Lepisosteus oculatus: one gene and its partner. The protein of the gene in region 1 purifies or fractionates together with the protein of each later gene. This does not show direct contact. Links are inferred from orthologs where the notes say so. Each region holds a gene or a part of one and is shown on either strand. Other genes may lie near its edges.

Region 1 (7,785 bases):
CAGTCTCATTTTCTATATATTATGACAACCAGCTGCCCCACATGCATAGTAAATAAATGTTAGTTTCTATTTGAACCAATCACTTGACAAACCCGATAAACATTTGTAGTGATGGATTCAGACTGAACAACCATAACCTGAATGCTGTAAGTTAGATAACTCATGAGGCGGCTTGTTTGTAAGGTTGTGCCGACAGTATCAAAACAGTGTTGTTGTGGACATTATATCCTTGACGTTGTTAAGAGCTTTGAGCAACTTGGGCTTCAGAACTCGGTCTGACTTTGAAAAGCAGGGAAGGCATCGACAAGCAAGACCGAGAATTTCCAATCAGTCAGCAGGAAGGCTTCTCATACAGTTGTAATTTAAGCGGTTTGTGACCACCACTCTCAGTAAGTTAAATAAATCTAATCTTTTTGATAATGTGCCTTACTACAGAACCATATTTGTCTCTTAATAACTAGTTTAAAATGACAAAATGCCTCATATACATGTGAATTTTAAATTAAGAACGTGTACAGTCCTTAAAAGCCAATTTATAACTGCTAATATAACAGTATAAAATTCATGTTAAACTTGTCAACTCAAAGCACTAAGTGCAGGTTAAACAAAAATTCACTGACAGAATGCTGTTTAGGCTTACATAATATTCTCAGTGCCAGGCGTTACTGGCTATAATATTTTCTACAATTTTAAAAAGTTAGAAATTCTGAATTTTTTCATGTAAAATATTTTTACAGGATTAGCAACAAGTACCTGTGATGATCAGGTGTTTGTAATAATCCTTAAATAATGCTGAATATGTTTTCAAGGATTGGTTCCCTTGAAATAGTAGCACTTTACTTTTAGGTTCATCAAAGACTAGACACAGAACCAACAACCAACATTTCCAGCATAACCTAAGAAGGAAATCTTCTAAAACCGAATGTAAATTCATAAACAAAATGAAGAAAGACCTTTTTTGGCTGATATCCCATGAAAATAAGTCATCTTAAGGCAGACAGTAACGTACGGCTGGCCGCAGTTGTGAGCTGTTGTTTCCATGATTGCATTAGTAAGTAATCTCTAGGGTCACTCTGCTTCATGCACTGAACTGACTGTCCTTTATCTTTAGAGTGTGACCTGCTAGGGAATTATCTCCCCCTCTCAAAGGAGATCACGCTGCAGGACTCCTGATGACGGTGAAGCCAAAAGAAATAAAAAGACCTGGCAATGCCAGCAATAGTGACATGGCTTTTTTATTGGCATTCGCTTTGAAACCTTTGTTAATCAAGTTTTTGTTCAAAATAGAGTTTCTTTAGATGTTATCTGTTCCCTATTGCATGTCGCATCATTCCAGTCTTTAGTTTCATACATAAAAGGGCCAGCGCAGTTTTCTGGGTAACATAATTTTCCAAATGTACTGCTGTGTATAAAGGACAATTGCAGAGGAACATACTGTAGCTTTCACAGCAGTGCATCTTTAACCTTTGCTTGCTTGAAGGGATCTTTTGTCTGAAATACAGACATCTGCATAAATGCAAATTCAAGAGAGACCACTGTGTCTTTGATGCAAATACAGATACTTTCATATTGAACTGTAACAGGACTAGTACAATGGTGTGGGTTTTCAGATTTGCTTTCTGCAAAATAGTTTTCTCTGTGGATCTTTATTTAATGCATGAGGCTGCAGTTACATATGGGAGGCAACAGCCTCAGAAATTTTTCACAACTTCTTATTTGCAACATATTATCGGCACTATTTTTTATCGCTATTCTTTTTAGGAGTTCTGTTTTGTTACAGACTTTATTGAAATTAGCTGTCGTTACAATGTTGTCTGAATGAATGAATGTCTATTTTAAATGGGTCAGTAAGTCTGTTCTTTTATATCATGAAAGTAATAAAAAATAAAATAAATATATTTTGTAAATAAAATGTGAAACACGTATGGTTTGTTATATAAACTATAATGCATTAATGTTGTAAAGTTAAAGCACGCAAGAATAAACATTCTGTTCGTATAGTTTTCGGATAGAAAATTAAAACCCAGTTCTCTAAAGGTTGTTCCTTTTGTATATTCTCATGGTTAGCCTTAAACATTTCATGATCCCCTTTACAGTTTCATAGCCTTCAGTTTAAATGCCATGCTTACTCTTAATATAAATATTTGTAGCTGCAGTTCATATTCAGACTGGTTTGACTCCACGTTTTTCGGTGATAATTAAGGAGCATCGGTTTTTGTTAATTCCTTGAAGAGACAAAGATTTGGAAAGCCTATCTTGGATGAACTGTGATTCACAAAGCTCTAGTTTGAATAATAAAAAAGGTTTTCCAGCTCATTAAATACAAAGTCCATATAATGTATTAAAATATATCTCGTTGACAGGGGAATTGCTATTTTTGGACAAATCCATTTAAAAGCATTTGCTTTGTTACATCATATGAAAGGTATGTGATGGTAAATGGAAATCTGATTAGTGTAATTGCAGCCATTTGTCTACCTGTAGATCTCCTAACAATACGTTTAACATTTTTAGCAAAATCCATGATCTTTTACAGAAATGTTTTGTTCTGAACAACTAGGTAATTTTATCGAAGGAGATCACTCACAATCTAGAGAGTCTTGATGAATATAAAATGTAACAGTGAGCTTCACCAGCATCGGTTATCCATCACCACTGACCTCTAATTGTTCCAGTAAGTGGTTGCTGGCCCAACGTCCAGTGTGTGTGGTTCTACAAATGAATAAGGAGAGGTTATATGACTTCAGTTATTAAGACCTTGATTTTTCAGTGTAAGCCTCTTGTGTCTCCAGAGGTATTCCCTGCTCTGTCCTGCATTTCCGTCTCTCAGCCGGAGGGACTGTGGGGCCACAAGCCCTGGCAGGCAGTACGTGTGGTGTGAGGAGGATGGCTTGTCTTACCTCCTGCTCTGGCCGACCGATCGCGGACACACAGCTCAGCGGACTGTGGGAAAGCGCCCTGGTCCAACAGACCCAGAGGTTCTCTGGCTGCTTGTCTGACTATGTCACAGAGTTTATGGGAACAGAACCAGGAGGCGGGGGAGAGCAGCGCCCCGAGTAAAGGAGGGGTTTTGCTGTTTATCCAGCCCCCTGGCAACACGGATTGGACACAGTCTGTCAGAGCTGGCAGCCAGCTCTGGCTCCAGGTGATCACAGAGGGACTCTTTCTCTCACGACCTGTTTGCTGTTGCCATACATACCTCATTTTAAGAGTCTGGTGCTATTTTCCTTTGGAACAGGATCAGTGCGTACTCAACCATTTGCATTTCATTTGGTATGATTGCTACTACTGCTAGGGTTAGCTCTGACAAAGAAGTTCAGATGTTGCCATGAGATCAAATAAGTTGTTCTACTGCTTTCTGTGAGAAAAGCACCTCAGGGCTTCTGTCCACCTGTTTTGAAAAAGTATAACTTAAGTACATTCAATGCAGTATCTTGATTTCACTTGTTATTATTTACAATAAAGTCAATCATTTAAATGCCTGAGTTCCAAAATAAAATTATCTTCTCCAGAAAAGTTTTTTCAGAAGCTAACAACTTGATCTGTTTTTTCTAACATTTATAATATTAATCTGTGCTTGAGTTCGTGAGTTTTTGGAAACGTAAGCAAAAGGGGTTCAACAGCCTGTCCTGGAGATGTATAATCTCCCTTTCACGGAATTTAGGTTTTTGCCTTAAATCAATTTCTTGGGGATGTAACCAAGAGCTAAATTAATTAAGCATATCTGTCTGTGTTTAAAGCAATACGTTTCAGTTATATGCTGCTGATAAAGCATTTTCAAAATATTTTTAGGATTATAAAAACTTTTAAAGGGTTAGCACTAAGACAACTATAACTTGTCACTAATGTTTGTGTTCGGCAGCAGTTCTTTCTGATACACAGTGATGTTACTGATATGAACTGTCTAACGTCAGGGAGTCCTGCCTGCCAAAAATCTAGTTACATAGAATGTAAAAATATCATCCTAAAAAGTATTTTGCATAAATCATAGAATATCTCATATCTTTGTATTTGACTATGGATGTACAGTATTATAGCCATTCTTCACTTTTGAAAACATGTTTTAATATTTCTGAAGCCTCTGTATTAGTTGTCAATCTTTGTAAACAACTAGCTCTGACGTGTCACTATCGGCCCTGAGTCTTTGTTATTCTAAATGTTAGACTAGAGCACATAGGAGATTGGTGTTGACCTGCTTGTGTCGACTTCAGTATTCCAGTGGGTTGGTAAAGTAAAAGGCCTCCCTCTCTGTGTTTCCCCTTTCTTGTAAATCAGTGTACATATGCAAACATGGTGCCAACAAACCTCTAGAGATTTTCAGTCACAAAGCTCTTAAGCAAAAGGAGTTTGCTATTCCAGCTTACACTTCCTTAGATGGAGTTTAGCTGGCCTCTCTTAAGTCAAAACAAGTTCCAAAATCACATTTTTAGAATGACTTGCTCGACGCACTTGGAGTAGAAGGGCAGAACTCAAACATGGGTACATAACAGGAGGATAAACTACTCTGTTTTCTCTGGCTAGAGCACTGCTGTTGTTGGCAGGCAGTGGTCTTTCGCATTGTCCCAGCTATGCTAACACACATGAGAGGAATTCTTTTTGCCGTCTTTATAATGGAAGACCAGTTGCATAATGTTCGAGCTACAATGAATGAGAAGGTGACAATTTAATGCAATGCGTAATCCGAGTTGCACACATTAAGTCCTAGAGCGTTGTCTTACAGTCCCCCCTTCGACTGAGAGCTGGTACATTACGAGTCTTGACAAGTGAGCTGCTCTAACTCCTGAAGCACCTCCACTGAACAATACTCATTCATTCTACAAAACCCTTATTGCCCCTTATTTTTATGTTTTCTAAGCATGATGTTTGTATTTGTTTTCAATTAAAGTGTGAAAAGGACCTTTTGCTTTGCAAAAAAAAAGACTTACAGTTAATGCTAAACAAGTACTTATACTAGAAGGAGGTTTGACTTGTTTTTACTGTACCTTACTTACCGTTAAAAAAAAAAGCCTTAAGAGTGTTTCTTATTGTGCCATTCAGACATGTTAATGATGTTCTGACTTTGCCCTGGTGTTATTTTAGACGTTTAAGTGACAAATGGTGAATAATGAGTTGTTTTACCACTGCTATTACTGTAATGAAGGTGCACGGCTAAGGCGATCTTGTATTGTATAGCTTTTAAATCATCACTGGATGCTCTTTAGAGTCCTCAGTCTCCCTCGCTCAGCTGACTCAGCTCAGGACGAGAGAGAGAACCCGCCAGCTGGATGAAATGATATTTTGCAACATGGTGTTAGGTGTTCGTTAAGCCATACGTTCTGTTTATTCCCAGGGAAACAATAATAAAACTAATACCAAATAAACACGCATATGCAGTATACACCTGTCACAGCTAATTAATAAAGTGGGTTAAAAACAGCTGTTCCAAAGGTTTTTAAGATGGGCAGTAGGCTTAAGCAAGGGAGATGCAAGCAGTTGTTTGAATAGCGGTAAAACATTAAAGATACTGTATGTAATTAAAATTGTATTTAATATATTGTAACATCTCTGGATTTAGTGGATTGTAATTACAATAGGTCTGGAGCTTGGTTTACATAGCTTTGTTTATTGTAATGTTCTGTGATTCACACTGCTCTGCTGTAACTGCAAGCCGTTATTAAAACTGGTTAGACCTAATTTCAGGCTAACTGATGGGTAATTTCAGTATTAAATAAAAGAAAAAATTGTTTTCACAGCTGAACGAGGGGTGCTACCCATGTCTTTACCTTTAGGATGTAATCACTCAGAATTCATTTCTTTCCATACAACTGCTTTTACCAACTTCAGTTTTCAGCCAGGATCTGAGGCTGCAAGGAGGCTTGTTAAAATAGCAATAATCTTGTCTCATCTTTTGTAGACATCAGTTAATCTAGCTCTGCAGTGTTTTCCATTGGAATTAATTTCCTCTTTGCAATAATAGCATTCGACAGCTCAAAGCATGGTATGTGAGGAAAGAAACAGGAAGAAATAGTTGGTTGCTCTGGTGTGTGTAGTAAGGCAAAGGAGATGCATCTTCAGCCCCTGGGTATAATGCGCCTGTGTTTGACTAAATTATTGAGATTAGTGCTGTGCACCAGTCATCCTAACACCTGCTGTGTCTTCTGTACCCAGGTCCCTGGTTATTTGTGGCTCTTCTGCTGTTTTCAGGGACAAGGCAGAGCTGTGCACGAAGTCTGTTTTATGTTCCAATCTGATAATGAGAGAGTGGCAGCTGAGCTCAGTCTGTGCTTGCTCTTGTTCTCGTTGGTATTTATGTAGTTAAGATAGGGCCTACTGTGGGAATTGCTTTCATCCTGATGGCTGAAAAAGCCCGTACTGCAGCAGGCTCTTCAGGATTCCCTTCTTCCTGGTTCCATTCCAAGAAAAGTTGTTCTGATAGGAAATGTGACCTGGACTTCTAACATTTGTGATATCTGATTATATCGATCCTTTGAAGGTGTAACTTTGGATACAGAATAAATCCGAGGTTTTAGCTTTAAGAGGAAACAGTGGGGAAAATGTAAATCCCTATAAATATTTCAGGAGTTCTGGTAAAGAAATCTTAGCAATTTAACACTCTTCTGATTATAACACCGAGACATTATACAGCAACAAAAAAAAACAGAAAATCCACAGATATAAAAAAAGTGTGTATCATAGCATTTACAATTCCACATGGCCATTTTGGTGAATCATGGCTGATTCCTTCATGCTTTAGCTAAATTTTCTGTTGATCTTGATCTTGTATAACTGAAATATATAATACAAGACACACAGTATATATATATAATACATATACAAGACGAGTATATAAACATATCCTTACATTTATACACATTTATATACATTGTATATAATTGTATTGTATATAAATTTGTATACATTTATACATATCCTTACATTATATTATGAGCAGCTAATGTTACATCTTATGTTTGAGTACTTCTTTGATTCTTCTACCAAACTGTTCTGAGTATGATGTGTGAGAAATCGACTTATTGGCAGCTTGTCTGCCTGAAACAGGAACTGTGTGCTGAAAAGCAGGTGTCTGGAGGATAGTAGTAGAAGAGTAGACAGAGATAACATTCTAGGAAATGCAAGGAGATTAGCTGTGTTATGTGACATGGTAAGAGCCATGTCTCAGTCTTGCCAGAAATTTTGTGAAATGAATTATTGAGCCTTATTGCAGCTTATAACCACATACCTTAAAATACAGGATTTGTGGGCATTCTCTGGACGTGTAATCTTTTCTTTATTTTTTTATAAATTATTTTATAATTTTATCTATGATTAGGTAGTTAGATGAAATGTTGGTATCTAACACATATTTCTAAAAAGCAAACCCTTGAGTGCTAAGAAAATGTTTAAAAGCAAAAACACTAAATGTTCAGAAGAGTTACAAGACAAACCTGGTGGCTATATCTATACATATTGCTGTATATTTTTCCTTGTAAGTCCCATGACAATGATTATTAGCAGCTCATCTAATCAGCGATCAGGAAATGGAAATTGCACTTCATGACTTTGGTAATGGATGAGTTTTGTGCTGTCAAAAGAGAAATTAAGTGAACTGAAATTAAGTTTTATATAGCTCCTTTCATCTCAAGTTGCTGTACAGAACAATACTAGTCAACATCTCTTGATGCTTAACACTGATGTGACCTGGTGTCAGAAGGTGTTTAGAGTGTTTTAGCACAGTGGAGTCTGAACACATCACAGTTTGTGCCCAAGAGGCATTGAGCTGACTCCCACAGATCACTCCTTCTGATC
Region 2 (7,363 bases), on another chromosome or scaffold:
GTCCCCACACAGAGACACAGTTCTTTTACAGCACTGATCTCTATTACTGTCCCACACAGAGACACAGCTCTCCTACAGCACTGATCTCTATTACTGTCCCACACAGAGACACAGCTCTTTTACAGCACTGATCTCTATCGCTGTCAAACACAGAGACACAGCTCTTTTACAGCCCTGATCTCTATTACTGTCCCACACAGAGACACAGCTCTTTTACAGCCCTGATCTCTATTACTGTCCCACACAGAGACACAGTTCTTTTACAGCACTGATCTCTATTACTGTCCCACACAGAGACACAGCTCTCTTACAGCACTGATCTCTATTACTGTCCCACACAGAGACACAACTCTCCTACAGCACTGATCTCTATTACTGTCCCCACACAGAGACACAGCTCTCTTACAGCACTGATCTCTATTACTGTCCCACACTGAGACACAGCTCTCTTACAGCACTGATCTCTATTACTGTCCCACACAGAGACACAACTCTCTTACAGCACTGATCTCTATTACTGTCACACAGAGACACAGCTCTCTTACAGCACTGATCTCTATTACTGTCCCACACAGAGACACAGCTCTCTTACAGCACTGATCTCTATTACTGTCCCACACAGAGACACAGCTCTTTTACAGCACTGATCTCTATTACTGTCCCACACAGAGACACAACTCTCTTACAGCACTGATCTCTATTACTGTCACACAGAGACACAGCTCTCTTACAGCACTGATCTCTATTACTGTCCCACACAGAGACACAGCTCTCTTACAGCACTGATCTCTATTACTGTCCCACACAGAGACACAGCTCTCTTACAGCACTGATCTCTATTACTGTCCCACACAGAGACACAGCTCTCTTACAGCACTGATCTCTATTACTGTCCCACACAGAGACACAGCTCTCTTACAGCACTGATCTCTATTACTGTCACACATAGAGACACAGCTCTTTTACAGCACTGATCTCTATCGCTGTCAAACACAGAGACACAGCTCTTTAACAGCCCTGATCTCTATTACTGTCCCACACAGTGACGCAGCTCTCTTACAGCACTGATCTCTATTACTGTCCCACACAGACACAGCTCTCCTACAGCACTGATCTCTATTACAGTCCCCACACAGAGACACAGTTCTTTTACAGCACTGATCTCTATTACTGTCCCACACAGAGACACAGCTCTTTTACAGCACTGATCTCTATTACTGTCACACAGAGACACAGCTCTCCTACAGCACTGATCTCTATTACTGTCCCCACACAGAGACACAGTTCTTTTACAGCACTGATCTCTATTACTGTCCCACACAGAGACACAGCTCTCCTACAGCACTGATCTCTATTACTGTCCCACACAGAGACACAGCTCTTTTACAGCACTGATCTCTATCGCTGTCAAACACAGAGACACAGCTCTTTTACAGCCCTGATCTCTATTACTGTCCCACACAGAGACACAGCTCTTTTACAGCCCTGATCTCTATTACTGTCCCACACAGAGACACAGTTCTTTTACAGCACTGATCTCTATTACTGTCCCACACAGAGACACAGCTCTCTTACAGCACTGATCTCTATTACTGTCCCACACAGAGACACAACTCTCCTACAGCACTGATCTCTATTACTGTCCCCACACAGAGACACAGCTCTCTTACAGCACTGATCTCTATTACTGTCCCACACTGAGACACAGCTCTCTTACAGCACTGATCTCTATTACTGTCCCACACAGAGACACAACTCTCTTACAGCACTGATCTCTATTACTGTCACACAGAGACACAGCTCTCTTACAGCACTGATCTCTATTACTGTCCCACACAGAGACACAGCTCTCTTACAGCACTGATCTCTATTACTGTCCCACACAGAGACACAGCTCTTTTACAGCACTGATCTCTATTACTGTCCCACACAGAGACACAACTCTCTTACAGCACTGATCTCTGTTATTGTCACACAGAGACACAGCTCTTTTACAGGAACAGCTTTGTCTGTAATTCAGCAGTAATTCATCTCTAAGATGTTTTGAGAGAAGTTCCTTGCACCAGTTCAGGAGAAGTTCAGGAGAAATTGATTTTCATCAATCACAGTCACAGTCACAGAAATGGTTGTATTTTCCAAGTGAACATGCAGTCCCTGCCCGTCTCATCCCTCTCCCTACCTCTCCATCTTTCTCCCTCTATCCATCTCTCTCTCTGTTCCTGACCTGTCTCTCTCTCAGTCCCTGATCTGTCTCTCTCCCTGTTCCTGACCTGTCTCTCTCTCAGTACCTGATGTGTCTCTCTCTCTCTGTTCCTGACCTGTCTCTCTCTCAGTCCCCGATCTGTCTCTTTCTCTCCGTGTCCCTGACCCGTCTCTGTCTCTCTCTGCCCCAGACTCTGACCCGTCTCTCTCTCTCTCTCTATCCCCAGACTCTGACCCGTCTCTCTCTCTCTCTCTCTCTGCCCCAGACTCTGACCCGTCTCTCTCTGTCTCTCTCTCTCTGCCCCAGACTCTGACCCGTCTCTCTCTCTCTCTCTCTCTGCCCCAGGCCCTGACCCGTCTCTCCCTCTCTCTCTCTCTGCCCCAGACTCTGACCCGTCTCTCTCTCTCTCTGTCTCTCTCTCTCTGCCCCAGGCCCTGACCCGTCTCTGTCTCTCTCTCTCTGCCCCAGGCCCTGACCCGTCTCTCTCTCTCTCTATCCCCAGACTCTGACCCGTCTCTCTCTCTCTCTGCCCCAGACTCTGACCCGTCTCTCTCTCTCTCTCTCTCTCTGCCCCAGGCCCTGACCCGTCTCTGTCTCTCTCTCTCTGCCCCAGGCCCTGACCCGTCTCTGTCTCTGGGACTCACCGTTGAAACCGTACTTAGACAGGTTCTTCTTGACCTGCTCGGGGGACAGCCCCGTGTTCTCGTTCACCCCGAAGTACGCCAGGCACTCCTCGGTGGTCTTGCTGTGACCGTTGTCCATGCTGCTCCCTGTCTGTTCACGCACACACAGCGAGAAGCCAGGAGACAGAAAGTGCGAGGGCTCTGAGGGGCTGCGCGGCTCTTATACCAGCCCGGCGCGCGCGGCCCCCCCGCCGGCGCGCGCCATTGGCCGCGCGAGGGCAGAGGGGCCGGGCCGGGCCGGGACACAGGGATCGCGCCCCGATCTGTTTTTGGAAAGTGCCGCGTCAGGAGAACAGGGGGGACAGGAGAGCAGAGCGAGGAGGAGGGAGGAGGGAGGAGGGAGTGAGTGACAGGTCAAGTGTGTCTCTCCAGGAGAGGAGGAAGAGGGTCAGTACACACTGAGAGAGAGAGGGGTTAATACAGACACACTGAGAGAGAGAGGGGTTCATACAGACACACTGAGAGAGAGAGGGGTTCATACAGACACACTGAGAGAGAGGGGTTAATACAGACACACTGAGAGAGAGAGGGGTTCATACAGACACACTGAGAGAGAGAGAGGGGTTAATACACATTGAGAGAGAGGGGGTTAATACAGACACACTGAGAGAGAGGGAGATTGATACACAGTGAGAGAGAAGGGGGTTAATACACACACACTGACTGGACACTCCAGTACATTATCACTGCACAGAGAGAGAGAGGGGTTAATACAGACACACTGACTGGACACTAGAGTACATTAACACTGCACTGAGAGAGAGGGGTTTATACACACACTGACTGGACACTCCAGTACATTAACACTGCACTGAGAGAGAGGGGTTAATACAGACACACTGACTGGACACTCCAGTACATTAACACTACACTGAGAGAGAGAGAGGGGTTAATACAGACACACTGACTGGACACTCCAGTACATTAACACTACACTGAAAGAGAGAGAGGGGTTAATACACACCTGACTGGACACTCCAGTACATTAACACTGCACTGAGAGAGAGAGGGGTTAATAGACACACTGACTGGACACTCCAGTACATTAACACTACACTGAGAGAGAGAGAGGGGTTAATACACACCTGACTGGACACTCCAGTACATTAACACTGCACTGAGAGAGAGGGGTTAATACAGACACACTGACTGGACACTCCAGTACATTAACACTGCACTGAGAGAGAGAGGGGTTAATAGACACACTGACTGGACACTCCAGTACATAAACACTGCACTGAGAGAGGGGGGTTCATACAGACACACTGACTGGACACTCCAGTACATTAACACTGCACTGAGAGAGAGGGGTTAATACACACACACTGACTGGACACTCCAGTACATTAACACTGCACTGAGAGAGAGAGGGGTTAATACAGACACACTGACTGGACACTCCAGTACATTAACACTACACTGAGAGAGAGAGAGGGGTTAATACACACCTGACTGGACACTCCAGTACATTAACACTGCACTGAGAGAGAGGGGTTAATACAGACACACTGACTGGACACTCCAGTACATTAACACTGCACTGAGAGAGAGAGGGGTTAATACAGACACACTGACTGGACACTCCAGTACATTAACACTGCACTGAGAGAGAGAGAGGGGTTCATACAGACACACTGACTGGACACTCCAGTACATGAACACTGCACTGAGAGAGAGAGGGGTTCATACACACACACTGACTGGACACTCCAGTACATTAACACTGCACTGAGAGAGAGAGAGGGGTTCATACAGACACACTGACTGGACACTCCAGTCCATTAACTCTACAGTGTGCGAGGGACAGAGAAAGAGGGGGAGGGGCTCGTGTGGTATTTCAGCTGAAAGTTCACTTAAGCCTCCTTCAGCACAGAGGGTGGAATCTGAGATCGCAGGATGTGTGAATGTTACAATAGGCCTCCATGTGGCCCAGAGGGTGTACTGGCCTAAAACACAGACACTGAGCTCTCCAGTGAGCCTGTACTCCAGGTGTGTGTCTGTCTCTGTACAGTGAGTCTGTACTCCAGGTGTGTGTCTGTCTCTATACAGTGAGCCTGTACTCCAGGTGTGTGTGTGTGTGTCTATACAGTGAGTCTGGACTCCAGGTGTGTGTGTCTATACAGTGAGTCTGTACTCCAGATGTGTGTGTCTATACAGTGAGTCTGTACTCCAGGTGTGTGTGTGAGTGTGTGTCTATACAGTAAGTCTGTACTCCAGGGGTGTGTGTGTGTGTCTATACAGTGAGTCTGTACTCCAGGTGTGTGTCTGTCTCTATACAGTGAGTCTGTACTCCAGGTGTGTGTGTGTTTCTATACACTGAGTCTGTACTCCAGGTGTGTGTGTGTGTCTATACAGTGTGTCTGTACTCCAGGTGTGTGTGTGTGTGTCTATACAGTGAGTCTGTACTCCAGGTGTGTGTCTGTCTCTATACAGTGAGCCTGTACTCCAGGTGTGTGTGTGTGTCTATACAGTGAGTCTGTACTCCAGGTGTGTGTGTGTGTCTATACAGTGAGTCTGTACTCCAGGTGTGTGTCTGTCTCTATACAGTGAGTCTGTACTCCAGGGGTGTGTGTGTGTCTCTATACAGTGAGTCTGTACTCCAGGTGTGTGTGTGTGTGTCTATACAGTGAGTCTGTACTCCAGGTGTGTGTGTGTGTCTATACAGTGAGTCTGTACTCCAGGTGTGTGTGTCTATACAGTGAGTCTGTACTCCAGGTGTGTGTGTGTGTCTATACAGTGAGTCTGTACTCCAGGTGTGTGTGTCTATACAGTGAGTCTGTACTCCAGGTGTGTGTGTGTCTATACAGTGAGTCTGTACTCCAGGTGTGTGTGTGTGTGTGTCTATACAGTGAGTCTGTACTCCAGGTGTGTGTCTGTCTCTATACAGTGAGTCTGTACTCCAGGGGTGTGTGTGTCTATACAGTGAGTCTGTACTCCAGGTGTGTGTGTGTGTGTGTCTATACACTGAGTCTGTACTCCAGGTGTGTGTGTGTGTGTATGTCTACACAGTGAGTCTGTACTCCAGGTGTGTGTGTGTGTATATGTCTACACAGTGAGTCTGTACTCCAGGTGTGTGTGTGTGTGTGTGTGTGTGTGTCTATACAGTGAGTCTGTACTCCAGGTGTGTGTGTGTCTATACACTGAGTCTGTACTCCAGGTGTGTGTGTCTATACAGTGAGTCTGTACTCCAGGTGTGTGTGTGTGTCTATACAGTGAGTCCGTACTCCAGGTGTGTGTGTGTGTGTGTGTGTCTATACACTGAGTCTGTACTCCAGGTGTGTGTGTCTATACAGTGAGTCTGTACTCCAGGTGTGTGTGTGTGTCTATACAGTGAGTCCGTACTCCAGGTGTGTGTGTGTGTGTCTATACAGTGTGTCTGTACTCCAGGTGTGTTTGTGTGTCTATACAGTGAGTCTGTACTCCAGGTGTGTGTGTCTATACAGTGAGTCTGTACTCCAGGTGTGTGTGTGTGTCTATACAGTGTGTGTGTGTGTGTGTGCTCCAGGTGTGTGTATATGTGTCTATACAGTGAGTCTGTACTCCAGGTGTGTGTGTGTGTCTATACAGTGTGTCTGTACTCCAGGTGTGTGTGTGTGTGTCTGTACAGTGTGTCTGTACTCCAGGTGTGTGTGTGTGTTTCTATACACTGAGTCTGTACTCCTGGTGTGTTTGTTTATACAGTGAGTCTGTACTCCAGGTGTGTGTGTGTGTCTATACAGTGAGTCTGTACTCCTGGTGTGTTTGTTTATACAGTGAGTCTGTACTCCAGGTGTGTGTGTGTGTCTATACAGTGAGTCTGTACTCCAGGGGTGTGTGTGTCTATAAAGTGGGTCTGTACTCCAGGTGTGTGTGTGTGTCTGTACAGTGAGTCTGTACTCCAGGTGTGTGTGTGTGTTTCTATACACTGAGTCTGTACTCCTGGTGTGTTTGTTTATACAGTGTGTCTGAATTGTAGCTTTGTGTGTGTCTGTAAATTGTCTCTATTTCTCAATGTCTGTGTGTGTTATTTGATCCATGTTTCCTTCGCTGTGCTGTATACAAGTGACCTCTGACCTTTCAGGTCACAGTGTCATGCTGTCAACATGTTCCTCAGGGACACAAATTGACATTTAACTCAACATTGAAGACAGATTGAATTACTGCCCCTCTCTCTCAGTGTGTCAGATGTACTGAAACTTGTGTGTCGTGTACATAATGTTAATGTACTGGAGTGTCCAGTCAGTGTGTCTGTATTAACCCCTCTCTCTCTCAGTGCAGTGTTAATGTACTGGAGTGTCCAGTCAGTGTGTCTGTAATAACCCCTCTCTCTCTCAGTGTAGTGTTAATGTACTGGAGTGTCTAGTCAGTGTTTCTGTATTAACCCCTCTCTCTCTCAGTGCAGTGTTAATGTACTGGAGTGTCCAGTCAGTGTGTGTGTATGAACCCCTCTCTCTCTCAGTGTAGTGTTAATGTACTGGAGTGTCCAGTCAGTGTGTGT

The links. Proteins that work in one complex are often made in the same cells at the same time.
Region 2: the proteins of pln1 (region 1) and sarcoplasmic/endoplasmic reticulum calcium ATPase 1 purify together in Homo sapiens (affinity purification with western blotting, with the first as the bait; 3 studies listed by BioGRID). This does not show direct contact. The link is inferred for Lepisosteus oculatus from reciprocal best matches to the Homo sapiens genes PLN and ATP2A1.

The regions. Positions count from the first base shown.
Region 1 is NC_090697.1:647,190-654,974, reverse strand, and holds the start of pln1 (cardiac phospholamban), read right to left. Parts: upstream 3,072-7,785; 5' UTR 2,901-3,071; intron 2,713-2,900; exon of another isoform or gene 2,588-2,712; intron 1-2,587. UniProt on the Homo sapiens protein: Reversibly inhibits the activity of ATP2A2/SERCA2 in cardiac sarcoplasmic reticulum by decreasing the apparent affinity of the ATPase for Ca(2+).
Region 2 is NC_090699.1:1,559,848-1,567,210, reverse strand, and holds the start of sarcoplasmic/endoplasmic reticulum calcium ATPase 1, read right to left. Parts: upstream 3,029-7,363; 5' UTR 2,966-3,028; coding exon 2,848-2,965; intron 1-2,847. UniProt on the Homo sapiens protein: Key regulator of striated muscle performance by acting as the major Ca(2+) ATPase responsible for the reuptake of cytosolic Ca(2+) into the sarcoplasmic reticulum.